Linked DNA regions of Ovis aries. The protein of the gene in region 3 purifies or fractionates together with the protein of the main gene of each other region. This does not show direct contact. Links are inferred from orthologs where the notes say so. Each region holds a gene or a part of one and is shown on either strand. Other genes may lie near its edges. The genes, in order: EPC2, MRGBP, ING3 and ACTL6A.

Region 1 (4,214 bases), on a different chromosome or scaffold from region 3:
CCGTTACTTGCCTTGTAGCCACAGGAAATCTCTCCAAAATTGAAAAGACAATCTTGCCACAACCCTCCCCCCTCCCAACACCTGGGATGGCTCGATATCTACACTTCCAATAATTATTGCAATGATATAATGCAATACATACCTGGTAAAATATCCTTTATGTGGTGTGTTACAGTTTTAAAGCCAGTTAAAATATGCAGTCTTCAGATAAAATGTAATCCTTGAAAATTTTTCATACCTGCACAGTTTAAATGTACTAGATGCATAATTTTTCCTAGTCCTTTTTTTCTGTGTAATCATTTTTTATAAACTGGTATTATAAATAGAAATATACATTCAAAATATATGGAAAAGTGAGTCACTACATTAAATTTGCATGTATCGATCCATCCCTTTCCCCTGCACAGTAATAGAAAATACTATTTTGCCTTGAACTTCATATTTGACAGTGAAATGCCACTAAAGTATTTACCAAAAAGTCCATCTAGTCAAATTGTGAAACAAAATGAACCAAGTGAAAACTTTACAGTTCCTTTAGAAAAAAATTACAAGAATTTCATTTCCTAGCTATGAATCTTTAACTTTTTAGACACAAAGTTGGATTTATTTTTACAAGATACAAAATGTAAACATGGCAAAATAAATAGTTAAAACAAGTGATGCAGGATCCCATTTCATGCTCATGATCCCATTAAAGAATTATTTTTTAAAATCCATTCAGTTGCAAATTCAAGTGCAAAAGCATGATGATGAATATCTACTATTCAAGTAACAGAAATAATATTGATGATACAAATAAACTATTTTACAAGGTAGTGATTTTCCCAATTTTACAAAATATACATCATATATCGATTCAACATCCGATATACTATAGTCCATTTAGGTCCATTGTTATCCTCTGTGATCCACAGAGTTTCGCCTTTTGCATTCAGCTGGAATATGAATGACTGCACACCATCAGCACAGGTCAAAGCCACATGTTTTAGGTTATGTCACTTCCATAGCTACTGTTGTCTCTGCTATTCCATTTAAACCCAATCTTTCTGGTTCATGGTTCTCTCTATAATAAGGCAAAGAGTAAAATAAACATTAATACTCTCTAGAATATGATGTTTATCATTTAGTATTTACAGATGTGTTTTATATAATTACAATTAAACATACTGCACAAGAACATCTCCCATTTTTACAGTTTCCATACAGGAATAAGGAAAAGTTTTCTTCAGTTAAGAAATCCTATGAACTTGATTATAATTATTTACTTAGGAAAAAGAGCAACTTAACAGTATTTCAGTAGCAGTCAATGATAAATTACTTATCAAACATATAATATAGGACAATTCAAGCTTTTTACAATAGACAGAGCAGATGATGCTCATACATAATAATAACTGGAAGCACAACATTACTTAAATTACTTTCCACTACAGTTTAATTTTACAGCTTATGGTCATGTAGTTATTAATCTATGCAGATCAATTTTTTTGATTCACTGTTCGCATGCATTAGTGTCACAGAAAGAAAAAAGCAATCTGAAATACATTATCATAGATTTAGTTAATTCCAGGATATTCTCAGTTCTAAAACATACACAAAATAATTTACTTTCCCTTTGGGTGTAATGTTAAAAAAATACAAATTTGATTTGAAAACTAAAGCTCTGAAGGCTAACAATAACTCTAGCCTGCCAGACTGCCTAAACTACAAAGAAGAAATATAAGAATAACTAAAGCTGATGTATTTTTTCAGTTTGATGGTTCCCAAGTTGATGTGGACTATCCTCCCCCCTTTTTTAAAGTAACAGTTCTGATTGGCATTTAAACATTCTACTAGGGACCTTAAAGATCTAAGTCATACAGCTTTAGACTAAGCAGATATTCAATATCTGTTGAAAAGCAAGTCAATCAGCTGACAAGATATCTATGGTTTGAGCAGTAAAAGAAAAAAAGGAAAAGTCTTCTCCTCCCACAGGATCTGAGCCAGCAGAAAGAGACAGAATGATACTTGAAATACACACACACACACACACACCTGGCTATGCTGCTGATGGCACTGCTAGGAGTAACCTTTGGCACTCTGTCCATACTGGCAGCAACTGTGGCGAGTTTTAAGGCTGTTGGCGATGGTGCTGAAGTCCGTGTATTGATATGCACATTGACTGGAGAAACAACACTGACGTTATTGAGGTGCACTGCATTTGTCAGGCAGGAATTGTTCATGGGAAGTGTTTGAGGACTGCTTGTGCACAATGCTGGGATTAAGTGGTTTGTAGTGGTGTGGCCAACTGTCCTTACAAGCTGTACAGCTGAAATCCCTGGGCTGGATGATAAAGCCATATTGGTGGAGTATAATGTTTTAGAGGTTCCTGAAGGAGAAGGAAAAAAAACTGTTCAACTCATGAGACATTAATTAAACTCTTTAAAAAATTAGGAGTTTAAAATGCAAACATTTGTAATCTAATTAAATCTCTGAAGAGAGTTTCTAATCAATAACCACAACATATTCACCTGTACAACCCCAAAGATACCCTCTTTCTGCTAGCCTGCATAAAACAGTTTTGCAAAGTATTCTGCTGCCTTCATATATGGAAACTGTGTAACAGGACAGAGAGGTCTTCTTGGAGACTGAGGGCAGGTGGAGATGAAAATTGGACTTCCATTAGAATTTGCACAAGGAAGAACATCAGTAAGGAAGGGCAATCACAATCATAGGTATATGGAATAGCAAGTGGAAAATCCTAGGGTCTGAGCAGAAGTTAAAGGCTGATAGGAAGAACAAAGTACTCTCGGTAGTTTGACGCAGAAATAGTTTCACAGCAATACTGTACTTCACAAGGAGTCACAGAAAGCAGGGCTGTGAGTGTGTAAGACTGGGAAGGTAAATCCAATTTCCAACTTCTGACAGATCATCTGGACTATTAATATAATTCTCCTCTTTAAGAATGTACAAATGATTCAACAATGATGGTTAGCAATTGGCTTGATGTGACTGGTAAGATGTGAGGCAAATGATAGTATGTAGATAAAACTAGGCAGGGTGGACTGTTACACAGGTAGGTATCAACTGGGCATGGGAGGACCCAGGGAGCAGGCTTGATGTGACTTTTAGAAACATCAAGCTATTCCACCACACAGAGCCATAGAAATTATGGAGTCCTAACTGACTTCTTGTACAATGTTTCCCCTCTGGATTTAAAAATCAACCCCCCCCCCCCCCCCCCCCCGCCAAAAATAAATAAATAAATAAAAAACCAAATCTCAAATCACTGAGTTGCAACTTTGAACTAGTAAGTATCACTTGAAACGACAGGCTTACCTGAAGGCTGGACAACACCGTTTATGTTGCTGTGGCCAGTGTTCTGTTCCTTGGCTACCTCACTGCGACTTGGAACAGGTGCACTGACCACTGCAGATGCAGCAAAATGGGCGCTGGCTGAGTCAAGTGTTTTAGACATACAGTCAGAGGTGCTTGAGCCCTATAAAATGAACAAAGTTAAACTCTCAACTTTTCAGATGTGAGTTCACAAACACTTAAAAAAGTGAGATAACCCAAGAGGCTGTTGCCTTTTTCATTCTGAATAGTTAAAAGTTTTTATGTTAAGAGATCTAGGACTTCATAGACTATTTTCATCTGTGAAATAAGAAAGTTACTAAACTGAGAAGCAACTATTTATGAGAAAGAGCTAGGGCAATAAACAATCCAAATCTTTATGCCCTATTCATTTTTCCAAGTGTTAATGCCTTTAAAAATACTTGACAATCGTTACTATGTCTCATTATGATTATATATTTTTTCCCTTATATCTCTTCCGATATTTGCTTTATATATTTTTGTTTCTTTGTTGCTAAAGTGTCTAATGGTTTATGATGTCTATCTTCTTTGTGAATTATACCTTTCTTCATTAAAAATATTCATCTTTGTTTCATTTAAAATAAATAAATAAAATTTTAAAAATACTTGACAATCTAGATACTGTGGGCAAAATGAAATGACAGAGATGGCTGACAGCCATTTTTGTCCCAGTGTAAAAATGTATCTTAGCCTAACTTCTCAGTAGGCTGAAATTACCTGAGATTCCTAAAAGGCAAACAAAGGCAAGTTTAATGGTCATGTTCCTTTTGATTCTGTATAAAACTAGTTCAGGGTTAGAAAGAGATGGGAATACCAGACCATCTGACCTGCCTCTTGAGAAACCTATATGCAGGTTAGGA
Region 2 (4,852 bases), on a different chromosome or scaffold from region 3:
CCTGGCAGCTGAGCATGGCATTTAGCTCCACCCTGACACTGGGCACAGAGGTCGGCTTAATACTCATGGGTAGAGACAGTCCCACACAAACCTGGTGAAGCAGACAAATGGGCAGTACCCAGGAGGCTTCATGTAAGAAAGATGTGGAGAAGGCAGTTTCCTTTTGCCCAGATCATCCAACCTGTCTTTCTGCATCGAGTCTGACTGAAGATACACATTCTAGGATCTGCCTGGAATGAAAGGAACCGGGTGTCTGTGGACCACAGCTGCTGGCTGAACACAGCTCAGCTACAGTGGCCACCAGAGAGAACGAAAACACAGCCCAGCACCCAGGTGACCCCAGGCAGGAGGAAGAGATTGCATGAGAGGCACAGATGGGCTGAGGCTGTCTTGTGGGCATCAGGGGTAGCTTCCTAGAGGAGGAGGCTCTCCAGATTGAAGAAGGCAGGAATTGGGTGGGGATAGAATGAGCAGAAGGTGGACCTGGTGGAGGAGCAGGGACCCTGAAGTGTCTGGGAAGTGTAGGGAGATTAATGATGAGGGCCACTGTCTGTTAGTGCTTTCTGTGTGACAGAGCCCGAGTGAAGTGGCTTTGGGCTGTGCTCCATTCCACCTCACAGCAAGCCCTGAGGGGAGCCCCACTTGTGGGTCAGAGAGAGGAAAGAAGCACAGGCCCAGCAAAGTCACAATGTCCCTCCACATCGTGGCTCCAGGACAGCCGGTGGCACTGGGTCACTGAAATCCTCCCTGGGCCACATGTCCCCACTCTGTGGGGACTGGCATCACCAGCAGCGCTCTTCACACAAGGGAGGACAAGACTGAGTCCCCACTGTTCCGGGGGTGAGGCTGGCCAGAGCGGTTCCGAATGCCGGCTAAGAAGCGCGAGCGTGTGCCCAGGGCACCCCAGGATAAGGCGCCGCCGTTAGTTGCACTGCAAGGAGGACACCTGCGGCCTGGAGAGGCTCAGCGTTTTGCCTGGCTCACACGGCTGGCAAGCCGCAGAGCCAGAAAGGGACCCGGAAGGCCGACCCTATGTCTACACCCAGGGGGAGACGAAGAGCAAGAGCGCTCCTCGCCTTGGGTAACCGCCCGGAGCACCGCGTGGGCGTGGCCTGACGGAGAAGGGCCGGGGAGAAGCCCTCGGGGGCGGGGATGGGGCGGGGCGGGGCGGGGAGGAGCCGGCGGTCTTGATTGGGCGCAGCTTTGAGCTTGTCACCTGACTGCCCAGGCCGGCCGCCCCATTGGCCCCGCCCCTCCCGACCAGGGTTAACCCCCAGGGCCCAATGCTGGTCACCCTGGAGGCCCCAGGCGGGAAGGCTGTACCCCGACGTCCCTGCCCCGGTGTGCAGGAGCCTCTCTGTGCAGCGCTCAGGCCAAGGGTCAGCTGGAGGCAGTGGAAGCCCTTGGAGCCCCCACTCGCAGGAACTGTAGGTCGCCTGTTCTTTTTCTTCTTTGCTTCTTACTGAGGTGCAGCTTGCAATCCCGCCATCGTAAGCGCAGAGTTCAGCGGGGTTTACCCCGAGCTGTGCAGCTACGGGCACAATCTAATTTAGGGCATTTCCATCCATCTACGCAAACCCACTCCTTCGCCTGATCCGCCTGCTCTGCCGGCGCTGCGCCGCGAGACCGTGCCGCCTGGGGGCGCGGCGACCCAGCGCTCAGCTGCGCCTGCGCCTGCGCCGCGGGAGAGTCCGAGAGCGAGCCCGTCGAGCGCGCGCCCACGCCGCGAGTGCGCCTGCGCGGAGCTCGTGGCCGTGCCCGCTCCCGCCCGGGGCTCGTCGCTGGGCGGCGGGGCCATGGGGGAGGCCGAGGTGGGCGGCGGCGGCGCGGCCGGCGACAAGGGCCCTGGGGAGGCTGCCACCAGCCCGGCCGAGGAGACGGTGGTGTGGAGCCCCGAGGTGGAGGTGTGCCTCTTCCACGCCATGCTGGGCCACAAGCCCGTCGGTGAGCAGAGCGCCGCGCCGGGGCGGCCCACCCGCGTGGGGGCGGGGCGGCCGGCAACGGTCGGGGACGCGCGCTGGGCGGGGCCTCCTGCGCTTGCACCCCGCCGACCGTGCCCTCACCTGCGCACCCTGCCCCCACCTGCGCACCCCATCCATGCTTCCTCCAGCAGTCCCCCACTCCTGCCCACGCTGCCCCCTTCTATACCCTACCCCCACCCGACTCTGCCCCCTTCCTGTGCCCAGCCACCCATCCCGGCTGACTCCAGCCCTCACGTGCACCCCCACCCCTGTGCCCTCGTTACACCTCCGCTGCACACCCCTGCCTTTTCCTCTCCCACCTCTCTCCGCTGCACCTCCTACCTCTTCCACCCTCCACCTTTGCCTCCCTACACCCTTGCAACCACTGCCCGCTCTCTCCCCCTTGCCCCCTACCTCTTCGCTACCCTACCAGCTGGCCTACCCCTCCCCCACAAGCCGACCCCTTCCTTCTGCAGGGGTGAACCGGCACTTCCACATGATCTGTATCCGAGACAAGTTCAGCCAGAACATCGGTCGGCAGGTCCCATCCAAGGTCATCTGGGACCACCTGAGCACCATGTATGACATGCAGGCACTGGTGAGCTGGACCCCCGCAGACAGAGCTGCTGGCAGGGAGCCCCCTCCACACCGCCTACCCTGCCTTTGTCCCCACCCCCCCCACCCCCCACCACCAACCACGTCCTACCTTGACATCCAGGATGTCCCACAGGTGACCAGTTGTTAAACAAGATAGCTCTGGGTAGTTTTATGAAAACACAAGCTTGGTGACAGTAGCTAGTTATTGCACTGAATCTACCTTAGATTTTGGGGGGGAGTCGAGGTTCAGTTAAGATCTTTCCAGGAGATAACTAGGGAGCTGAGGCCTGTGTGGGAGGGGGCTCTTAGGTTGTCAGTCCTGTGGAAAACTCCCGAGTGCTATAAGCAGGGAGGTGACCGGGTCTGAGTCACATTGAGATGAACATGGTGGTTTCTGTGAGAACTAGGCCAACCCTCAGGGAAGACCACCCTCAGGGAACCCCCAGATGCTGGGTCTGAGGGAGAGCAGGTCAACTTGGTAACCAGGACAGCAGAAAAGACAGGTGGGTGTTCCCTGCAGAGGAACAGCAGGAGTCAGGGCCCTGTGGCAGCAGGCGTCAGGACTCGGGGCTGCACCCGCACCCCACCCTGTGCCCCTCCCTCCTCCCTCCCTCCCACCCTGAGCTTCTAAGTGAAGCTCAGACCCTCTTGTGTCCTTAACCCTCACCACCACAAGTTCCCTGTTGGCCTTGGGAAAGTCGTTTGCATCTCCTTGTCCCAAGGCAGAGAAGGAAGAGAAATGACAGTACTGCTCTGACCCCGAGCCTGCAGTTAGCACCCAGGAACTCGAGGTCAAGCTGTTGAACTGAAGCAGGCCGCCCGAAGGGCTGTGCCCACCCGTTGGGGCACCACTCCCCCAGAATTCCAGTGTTCAGCAGCTTGGCAGGACCCCCCATGCTTGTCATGTTGGGGTGTCACCTGGCCCCCAGACGCTTCCTGCATCTCCACTCCAGGCTGGGGCCCAAAGCTGGACACAGAGACAAGTATGGGAGGGCCCCTGTCCTGAGGGGCCTTTGGTGCGGTAGACAGGACAGATGGCTCTCAAGTGCAGACGCTGGCTCAGAGGGTGCTGAGGCAGTGATGCCCCGTACAGGGTACGGTGATACTCTGCTGTGGGGGCCACCAGGGAGGCTCTCAGTCCAGGACAGGTGGCCCTTCCTTCCTCAGTTCCTTGGACCCCAGCACCGCTATAGAGCTGATGCCATGGTCACCTGGGACCTTGTAAATATGGGTCTGTGGATCTCACCCCACAGGATGACCGTGGGCCCAGGAGCTCTCGGGGTTTGTGAAGCTCCCAGCTGGCAGGTGGCACACTTACTCACTGACCACCTGGCTTGCAGCTCAGCTCCCAAGTTGGGGACTAGAAGCCCTGTCTCCTGAATCCCCTCCCAACCCAGAGACCCTTCCCACCAGCTCACCTTTCCCTTTGTCTGGTGGTGGTGTTTCTGGCTCTCTGTCCCTCCAGGCCTACGTGATCTGGGGAACAAGTGGAGCCTGGCGAGCATTCCTGGTGGCTCCTCCATTTTGCTTTGTTTGCCTGGTTTCCACGAGAGAGAACAAAGGCCTCAGGCCCCACGCCTGCCCACTGCAGCCCCTCGGGACAGCCATCTGTGCTCATTGGTCACTCCTGAGTTGGCTCTTACATCTCTAGTCACATTTTCTTTTAAATGTGATATTTAAAATCATATTTTCTTCTTTGCTTCTAAAAAAAAAAACACCCTTGTTTGTCATCAGCACGAGTCTGAGATTCTTCCGTTCCCAAATCCAGAGAGGAACTTCATCCTTCCAGAAGAAATCATTCAAGAAGTCCGAGAAGGTATGACTCGGGCAAGGGCAGATTTGGGAATGGGAAAAGGTGTCAGGGTGAAGGTCACGAGCCTCAGAGAGTGAGGGTCAGTAGTTGGGTGGTGCTCACCCTCCAGGATGGGGTGGTCTGGGGGCCTCCAGGACAGGGGCAGACACCTCCCAAGTCGTCAGCAGCCCTTGGCCTGAGCCACTGTGGTCAGACAGGGCCACGGCACTCAGCATTGCGGGCTCCAGGTCATCATTGGTCATCTCCCCACAGGAAAAGTAATCATCGAGGAGGAAATGAAAGAGGAAATGAAAGAAGATGTGGACCCCCACAACGGGGCTGATGATGGTAAGTGTGGAGCTTGCCCTCCCACCCTGGGGCCCCAGGGGCATGGACCCTAGCCCAGCGAGGCCTCCCCATCACTAGCAATGGGGTCATTCGTCTGTCTCAGCAGCTGAGAAGGCAGCTTCCATCTGCTCGGAGAGAGCCTCTCACACAGGGG
Region 3 (4,214 bases):
TTATTATATGCCAACAGTAGGCTAAGCACTTGAGAAAGGATGAAAAAGAACACTCCCTAGAGAGAATCAGGTTATTTGTATCTAGAGAGTATACACTGCTGTTAGTACCACACATTCTTCCTTTGAGAATGCCATGCAAAACAGACTACCTGTTCCCAAATCAAATATGCTCTTCCCAAATGAAGAAGATAAATCTGCCAGTAGTTGCAATGAAAAACTGTATCTCACAAGATAAAAGAAAGGGGAGGGTATCTGTTTCTCAATCAGTTGTGCAGAGCTAATGAAAGAGAATATACAGATGATACAATGAATTTTTCATTGTTTTTAAGATTTTAGCTCTCCTAAATCATACTTACTCTCCACTGGAGTATGTGAGTGAGCATGGTGATTGTTCACTGGCTGTGAAGGAGTGTCTAATTCCAGAGATCCTTAAAAAAAAAAAAAAAAAGAGAGAGAGAGAGAGAGAGAGAGAAGCACAGACATACATTGCCATGAGATGTCACCACAGAACTTTACACACCAATCAACTACAGGACTGTGGACCCTTAACCAGCAGAGGACCAGCAAGCTCTGATGTCTATGCCTGTACCATTTTAGTCAAACACATTAGAGGGTCATCACTGCTGATTTTACCCTGCGCCAATCTCATCCTCTTTCTAAACAGTAAGTAACCCATTTTTTAATATTCACCTTTAAGTACAAAATGGGTCAAGGCATGCTAATGTCTGGCTGAGGAATTCACCACATTTGGTACCACATAAGTGGACAAATGGATGTTATAATTTCATTACTGATGAGACCTAAAAAACTCAACCTAGAGTTAACTGAGTTGAAGACCTTTTAATGGGAGATACTGAAGTATCAGGCGATGGGACATTACTATAGGAAAAAAAATTCTTTGATCATTAAAATGATATATGAATGTAAAGACTTCTAAAAGAAGTTAGGGATTTTGCTTGTGAAATGTGATGCATAGAATCTCTACCTCTAAACTTTAATATACTTTTAAAGAAATGTCCTCAGTTTATCTTGGTCCCTTGAGATGAAATTATGGCAGGGCACAGGGTGGAGCAGTTTTCATAACTTGATCTGATGACTTTGATATGTTTGTGTCCTTACAGAGGATGCTTCATTAACCTCCCTGAGGTACTGAATAGGCATGGATTTACTGCTACTCACAGCTATTATCAGCATTTCAAGAAAATAAAACATTTTATTTTGTCTCAAGATACTTATCATCCTCAGATAGGATTCCCCTGAAATGAAAGTATCACAAATAAATTAGATAATCATCTAAAGTGATGGACCTATTTGGGAACACAAAAATGCAACTATTGTACCAAGATGGATTCATGTGTGGTTGCTGCCCTAGCTGACCTGTAGAGAGTATATGAATAGAGATATATGTAACCTAACACTGTAAAGAAACCTTTCATCCATGTGTAGAACCAGGTATATGTTCTTGCTACTGATATGCACCAAGAAAAGAGATGCCTGAACCTTTAGTTAAATTATACTAGAAATCGGCCATAATACTGACTTGATTCAACTAACATTTACTGAATGCCTACTCAGGGCTTACCATGGTACCATCTGTTTTTATGGACTCTGTCTATTTAGGCTGAAGAGCTAAATTTGTTCAAGAAACAGAGCTCATGTCTCCATTTTGGGGAAATCTCCTGAGTTAAACCCTAGGAATGATAAGAGTAAATTATAGCAGGAGATCAAGTCCAAACAGTCCAACTGCTAGGGACCAAGTGATCCCACCAGGTGCCTCTGTCCACCAAGGACCAGGATCTGAGAAGTCTCTGTGGAACCAGTGTCTCCTCAGTGATGTGCACATGTATTGTCCAATGGTGATGGAAAAGTGTAAATTTTACTTACGCCTCTCTAATATCTCTGTAATCCCAGCATTATCAGCTTCCAGCTCCATTTTAAATTTAGCCAGTTCCTGATCCAGCTTTCTCAAGTGTCGATCTACCTGTTTCAAAGAAGATCAAAGATAACCACCACAATTTGGGACACTATCAAAGTGTCGGTTTAATGAGGAAGCCTAAATCTTTACTTCTTTTAGTGCATCTGCTCTGGATCCTTGAGCAAGTCAATTAACCTACACTACAGGTTTTTATTCTATAAAATGAGGTTGCTAGGCTAAATACCTCCCAAGCCTCCTTGAATACATTTTAAGAAACCAGAATTGCAATTTGTCAGAGAATGTTTGGAGGAAGTAGGCTATGAAACATAAGCAAAGATGAGGGGTGGGTGGCATAGGAAACTTTTCATATATACCTTGGGATTACTTTCAGCCTAAGCTCCTCCTCCTTATAACAAGACCATCCACACTGCCAGACCATAATAACTGTTACTTACAGTAAGGAATGAAAGATCCTCAGTCTACAAACAAAGAGCCTCCTATACTTTACACATACATTTCTCTAAGGCAGGAAAGCATACCATTATACTTGTAAACATTTATGTAAAGAGTTGAAACAAAAGGGGTTTTTAGCCAGAAAGTTCCATTCCACAAAAGCTTGGTCAAAATGGTTTTATTGAAATACTGTCACACTTGGTTAAGGTGGCCAAATTGTATATTCTCATTCACCTAGAGATCTTTGGACTGAAAATTTTCTTCTGAAAATTTTATAATACCTCAAACTAGCAACAAGTTTTCATGTATTTTTTTAAGCTTAATATTAAATATCTTGATACTTTTTCAAATTTACTGCTTTGAAGTCAAATCAAAAAAACAAAAAACAGTCTTGAAAAATATTCATGTCATATTATTAGCAATACCTTTTTTCAAATTCTAATGTCCCTCTTAATCACTGTCATAATTAAGAGTAACTTTCTTACAAATATAAAAATGTCTCCAATACATTAGAGGGCAAAAAAATTAAGTAAGACTTTCAATGAAATTATGTGTACTTAAGTGAGGGGTTAGGGAAGAAGAGTACCAAAAGACAATCTGTGGGTGTTAGATGCCAGGACATGTGTTTGGTGCATTAAAAGGACTATGTTTTCTAGTCCTTGCTCAAACCTTTTGAGATAGTACTGTCTCCATTTCATAAGTGAAGAAACTAGACTCAGAAAGGTTAAGCAACACCTGCAAATTCAATAGCTAATATATTACAGAAACAAGATTTAACTCTGATCTGTTTGTAATAAACTGTGCTTCACTGTTTATACTTAACATTGCCTTCTGAATTTCCACATGCAGAAGCCAATTTCTTAACTGAAAGTAATATAATTCAAATTGAAAAAACATAAAAATATTGTCTTATTATTTATATTTTGTATATTAACAGCAATCATTGGGATGCTGGCTTGTGACTTTTCAATAATTCAAAGCCCAATTTTCCTTCCATCTTCACACACGTGTTATTTTTCAGAGCTTGGTAGAAGCTGTAATTACAATATTTAAAATCCTATAGGGTCATATCAGAGAAGGCAATGGCAACCCACTCCAGTACTCTTGCCTGGAAAATCCCATGGATGGAGAAGCCTGGTAGGCTGCAGTCCATGGGGTTGCTAAGAGTTGGACACGACTGAGCGACTTCACTTTCACTTTTCACTTTCATGCATTGGAGAAGGAAATGGCGACCCACTCCAGTGTTCTTGCCTGGAGAATCCCAGGGACAGGGGAGCCTGGTGGGCTGCCATCTATGGGATCGCACAGAGTCAGACACGACTGAAGTGACTTAGCAGCAGCAGTAGCAGAATAGGGTCATATATTGTAGACACATGCTCCTATTCAAAGAACCTGCAGGTAACCAAGCATCCTTTAATGGAACCACCCTTTCAATAATAAAGTGTGAACACAGACCTCTTATTCAAGAATATCGCTTACATTGTCAAAATTTAATCTCAAGGGAAATCAGAAAAACTACTCATGCTTAAATTCCAAGTCTACTTAATGCAATGAAAATACTCCACCACCTTTCTTACCTACACCTATATTACTAATAAACACTGAGTTCCTATTGTGTGCATGGCGCTGGGTAAATGGACAATACCTGAAGAATGAGAGAATCCCTGCCTTCACAGGAATTAACACTAAACTGACAAATCAAGATTTATATAAGATTTTTAACATAACGGTATAAACAAAAAATAAAGTCTCCTAGATGCAACAAAAGGAAAACAAAGGGTCAGAAGTCGCACATAAAGAAAAAACATAATATTGGGATCCTGTAAGCATAAAGGAGCTATGAATA
Region 4 (4,214 bases), on a different chromosome or scaffold from region 3:
TTCTTTTATATAAGAAATTTTCTATAATAAAAAGTTAAAAAATAAAACAATGCCAATTCCATTTACATACTCCTTGCAAGGAAGCAGCCAAACAGATCTTATGTTCAAATTCATAACTGCCATTTTCAAGCTGTAGACTGGGACCAGTTTGCTTATTTTGATTCCGACTCCTGACAGGGTTATTATGAAAATTAAATGAGATAATGCACACAGAGAGTTTGCTAGTGCTCTCTATCCTCTACTCAAAACCTGCAATGGTTCTCTCAAGTCTAAAGTTCACATTTTTAAAATACAACATGCAAGGCTTCCACGGTCTGACCTAAACCTATTTTTACAACTCTCACTAAAGCTGAATATAAATCTTCAACTCTAAACTCACTGTGAGGAATGCTTACCCTTTCCACCTCCACACTTTTGCTAAAGTCATCTCCAAGACACAGCACGACAGACAAATGCTAGATTACAGCTACCACAGTGATTCTCACACATGTAAAATTCACTTGAATATTATAGCAATCCAGGGAGGTACACAGGATAAATGTATAAAAGGTGAGGCTGATTTTAAGTACCTAAATCAAGATCAGTTTATCAGCACTGTTACTTGAACTCTAAATATAGGACTCCTTTCCCTTCACCTTGCAACTAAATTCCCTCACTTTTTGGGGGGGAGGGGGGTGGCGGGCGCACTACATGGCGTGCGGGATGTTAGTTCCCCAATCAAGGATTGAACTCATGTCCCCTGCACTGGAAGTGCGAAGTCTTTAACCACTGACTGCCAGGGAAGTCTCAAAATTCTCTTTTCTTTACAAGGTTTGTCAGGCTTCAATCTTCCTCCACTGAACTATAATTGCTATTTGAAAATTTCAGATGAATCATGTACTTCTTTATGACTTTTGCCAGTGCTATTTTGAAGTACTATTTAAATGTTATTTAGTTTTCAACAAGAATATTACATTATTCTTTGAGGTCAGGACATAGTATTTCCTTGTCTGTTCCTTAATATGCTCATAAAAAATACTTGGTGATTAAATCTTAAATGAATTTATAGACAACTTCCACTTTTCTCAGGCATTGGAGAGGAGGAAGGAAATGACACTCTTTGAACTCATCTAGGCCTTCTCTTCACATTCCCCTTCTAAAAACACAATTTTTAAAAAACTTTGTTAAATTAATGAGCAGAATTTGAGTGTTTATTTCCCATCTCCGTCTCACACTTTCATGCACATCAGTTCCAGTAAGAAATACTGAAAGAAAGGTATCCAAAAAGCAATGGGGAAAACTCCCTCAACTTCTGACAAGCAAGAACTGACTCCTGTCTTCCTGCTGAGCACATCACCTTTAGCAGAACCACAGTCACTCATGAAGAGAAGCTGAGTATTACTCTTTCAAGGATACGCTGTCAAAACGGCAGTTTTGCAAAGGAAGAATGCAGGAATGTTGTAGTGTTCAAACATCAGCTCTGTCAGTTTCTCTCTCTTTGCTCTGGTATTCCACTTGAGAGTAGGGAAAAAGAAATGCAAATTACTTATTGTTTAAAAACTAAAATGCTGATTTATCTCAAAATTCATTTCAGTACTGTATTAACAAAAATGTAAAACATTAAGTTACCATGGAAAATCTTCATAATATCTTTACAACATTTATCTCTATGTATTTGTAATAAATTTAATAAAGTTTATTATCTGAAAAGTAAAATTGCTGCTATGAATTCTAGAAACTACAGACTTTTCAAAGTATAGAGTAATCAGGATTCTTATAAACATGAAGTATTAAATCTTAAGAATGAATCTAGTCACTCCTAAGATTGAGTAAAAAAGCAGATATACACTGCCCTTGAGCGATAAGGGACAATTCATGAACCAAAATGGGAAGCAGTCAAAGGAAATTAGATATTAAATTCCTGGAAAAAAATAGATAAATAACTGCCAGAACCCACTGGGTGCTTTACTGTTGTTCTTTGAGTATTTTTATTATTGAAATAATAAAAGTTGTAAGAGTATTTAAAAAAGAATCCCCCTTTCCCTCATTTTCAAAATATGAATTTCTATATCTCTTTAAAGAAAAAAAGTAAAATGAGTAAAAAAACAACCTAGAAAACTTGAAAAAGTTTGTCTTACTGGTGCTTCTGACATGAGAACAGGATGCAGGCTGGCTTCTGATTTGACATGCATTTTGTAGGTATGATCCAAAATAGCCTGGAAACTATCCCAATCTTCAACTAGAATATAAGATAAATACCTTGAAAACAATACTTAGTTGGAGATGAATACAGCATCTTCTGAGAGACTGTTTCTAATGGTTTAGCACTGATACTTTAATATACAGAACTGACTTATTTTACAGCTCTACCTCATAAAACAGTACTTCATATAGACATTAGCTTTGTCTTCTAGATATGGCTCCTCCAGCCCCAACAGTACCGTAACCCCTAGACCTGACCCAGATAAAATTAAGGTATCTAACACACCTAAAATACCAAATAAATAGTATTCGGTTAAGTACTAACTATAAAGCCCAAAGCACAATTCAAATTGTAAGAGGAAACAGAATTGCATGATTTGGAGCTAACAGCAACAATCTGTATGAAAAAAAGACATAAAAACATTATAAAAAATTTAAAGAAGAATATGTTTTCAATTTGCTTTCCATTAAAACATTACACTGACTGCTTGCGTAAGTCACTAACGAACGTCCAACAGGTAAGCCCAGTGGATCCTTTGCGTCTGCAATCTCACCTAACCTCTCTAAATTACTGACACCATTGATTCAAGAGTTCACAAACTTCTTCTGCCACAGACCAACAAAGAATGGCATCATCTGTACACCATGTTAGTATTGTTATAGGCCTATCAGGATGGGTTTAACTCACTGCTCTGTTTTCTGGGGGCTGCTAGGCCTTCGTTGCTCCCCAGGGGCTGCTCTCTAGTTGCAGTGCTCAGGCTTCTCACTGTCGTGGTTTCTCCGGCTGCAGAGCGCACGCTCCAGGGTGCACGGGCTCCAGCAGCTGCTTCACGTGAGCTTAGTTGCCCTCCAGCCTGTGCCATCTTCCTGGACCAGGGATTGAACCCACGTCCCCTGCATTGGCAGGCGGACCAGTGAAAGTCCAGAATGGGATATTTTGGTCAAGGCACTTCCTCTATAGCTTTAACTTCTCTTTCCCCTTCTTAGCATAAATCTCAATGCCACAGTTAAGAACATGAGACTCACTGGACTTCTTCTCGAGTTTTTTCTTTTCTTGGTTTTCTCCTGAATTTTCTCCTACTTCTCTAACTGTTCATCTCATTCCCCTTCATAGGCACCTCTACTGGTTAAATACGGAGTAACTTTCCATAAGGAATCTCACCCTCAATCCTGTTTTCACCTCCCAAACTCTTTCTGGGTGGAAAAAAAAAAAATCAATTCCATGTCTTAAAATCACTCTTACTTGCTTATTAAACCAGCATCTATACTCAAACACTTTGAACTAATAAACTCTTGCTATGCAGAAAGAGTTAACTCAGCAAACCTGAGAAAGGCCTGCTTGCAAGGCTGACCCTTGGCTGGCATCTGGGAACTTGTCTGGTAAACAGTTTCCTACATTGATATAAAACTTTCCCCAAATAAGAGTAGTTCACTGTGCCTAAACCATTTATACAAACAGTGTGGTTTAAACTGGGAGTCTGGGGTTTTGGAACATGTTGGGCACAAGGTACCTACATGACCAGTCACCAATAAAAACCATGGGTACTGAGTCCTTTTTTTTCTGAATCCAAAAGATAGTTATTTATTCCAAGTATCAGGATAATATAAGAAATAAAATATTTGTAACAAAAAATATTCTTCCAGTTCTTTAGCAGTTCTATAGAGATATAATTTTCCATAACATGAATTTTATGTGTACAATGAAGAGATTTTCTTCTGTAAAGCTACACAGTTGTGTGACTCTTATTACAACATAATTTTAGAATAGTTCCATCACCTCAAAAAGAAACTGTATGCCCTTTAACAGTCACTTCTCATAATATCCACAGCCCCAAGCAACTGCTACTTTACTTTCTGTCTGTATAAATTAGCTTTTCCTGGTCATTCCATATTAGAGTAAGTGATTCCACATTATGTGGAATTTTGCATCTGATTTCCTCCATTTGGCATAAGGCTTTGGGGTTCATCAAAACCCAACTGGTATTTTGACTTGTATCAGTTATTTTGTTTCTTTTATTGTCAAGTAGTATTAA

What was found.
Region 1: the proteins of ING3 (region 3) and EPC2 purify together in Homo sapiens (affinity purification with mass spectrometry; 3 studies listed by BioGRID and IntAct, with this or other methods). This does not show direct contact. The link is inferred for Ovis aries from reciprocal best matches to the Homo sapiens genes ING3 and EPC2.
Region 2: the proteins of ING3 (region 3) and MRGBP purify together in Homo sapiens (co-immunoprecipitation; 4 studies listed by BioGRID and IntAct, counting the BioPlex papers as one, with this or other methods). This does not show direct contact. The link is inferred for Ovis aries from reciprocal best matches to the Homo sapiens genes ING3 and MRGBP.
Region 4: the proteins of ING3 (region 3) and ACTL6A purify together in Homo sapiens (affinity purification with western blotting; 3 studies listed by BioGRID and IntAct, with this or other methods). This does not show direct contact. The link is inferred for Ovis aries from reciprocal best matches to the Homo sapiens genes ING3 and ACTL6A.

What each region holds. Positions count from the first base shown.
Region 1 is NC_056055.1:160,774,138-160,778,351, forward strand, and holds part of EPC2 (enhancer of polycomb homolog 2), read right to left. Parts: intron 3,479-4,214; coding exon 3,319-3,478; intron 2,369-3,318; coding exon 1,908-2,368; 3' UTR 1,064-1,907; coding exon of another isoform or gene 991-1,063; 3' UTR 1-990. UniProt on the Homo sapiens protein: May play a role in transcription or DNA repair.
Region 2 is NC_056066.1:54,281,298-54,286,149, reverse strand, and holds the start of MRGBP (MRG/MORF4L-binding protein), read left to right. Parts: upstream 1-1,642; 5' UTR 1,643-1,796; coding exon 1,797-1,944; intron 1,945-2,437; coding exon 2,438-2,559; intron 2,560-4,292; coding exon 4,293-4,374; intron 4,375-4,623; coding exon 4,624-4,698; intron 4,699-4,852.
Region 3 is NC_056057.1:87,086,201-87,090,414, reverse strand, and holds part of ING3 (inhibitor of growth protein 3), read right to left. Parts: intron 1,982-4,214; coding exon 1,885-1,981; intron 429-1,884; coding exon 357-428; intron 1-356. UniProt on the Homo sapiens protein: Component of the NuA4 histone acetyltransferase (HAT) complex which is involved in transcriptional activation of select genes principally by acetylation of nucleosomal histones H4 and H2A.
Region 4 is NC_056054.1:208,327,178-208,331,391, forward strand, and holds part of ACTL6A (actin-like protein 6A), read right to left. Parts: intron 2,219-4,214; coding exon 2,118-2,218; intron 1,494-2,117; coding exon 1,396-1,493; intron 1-1,395.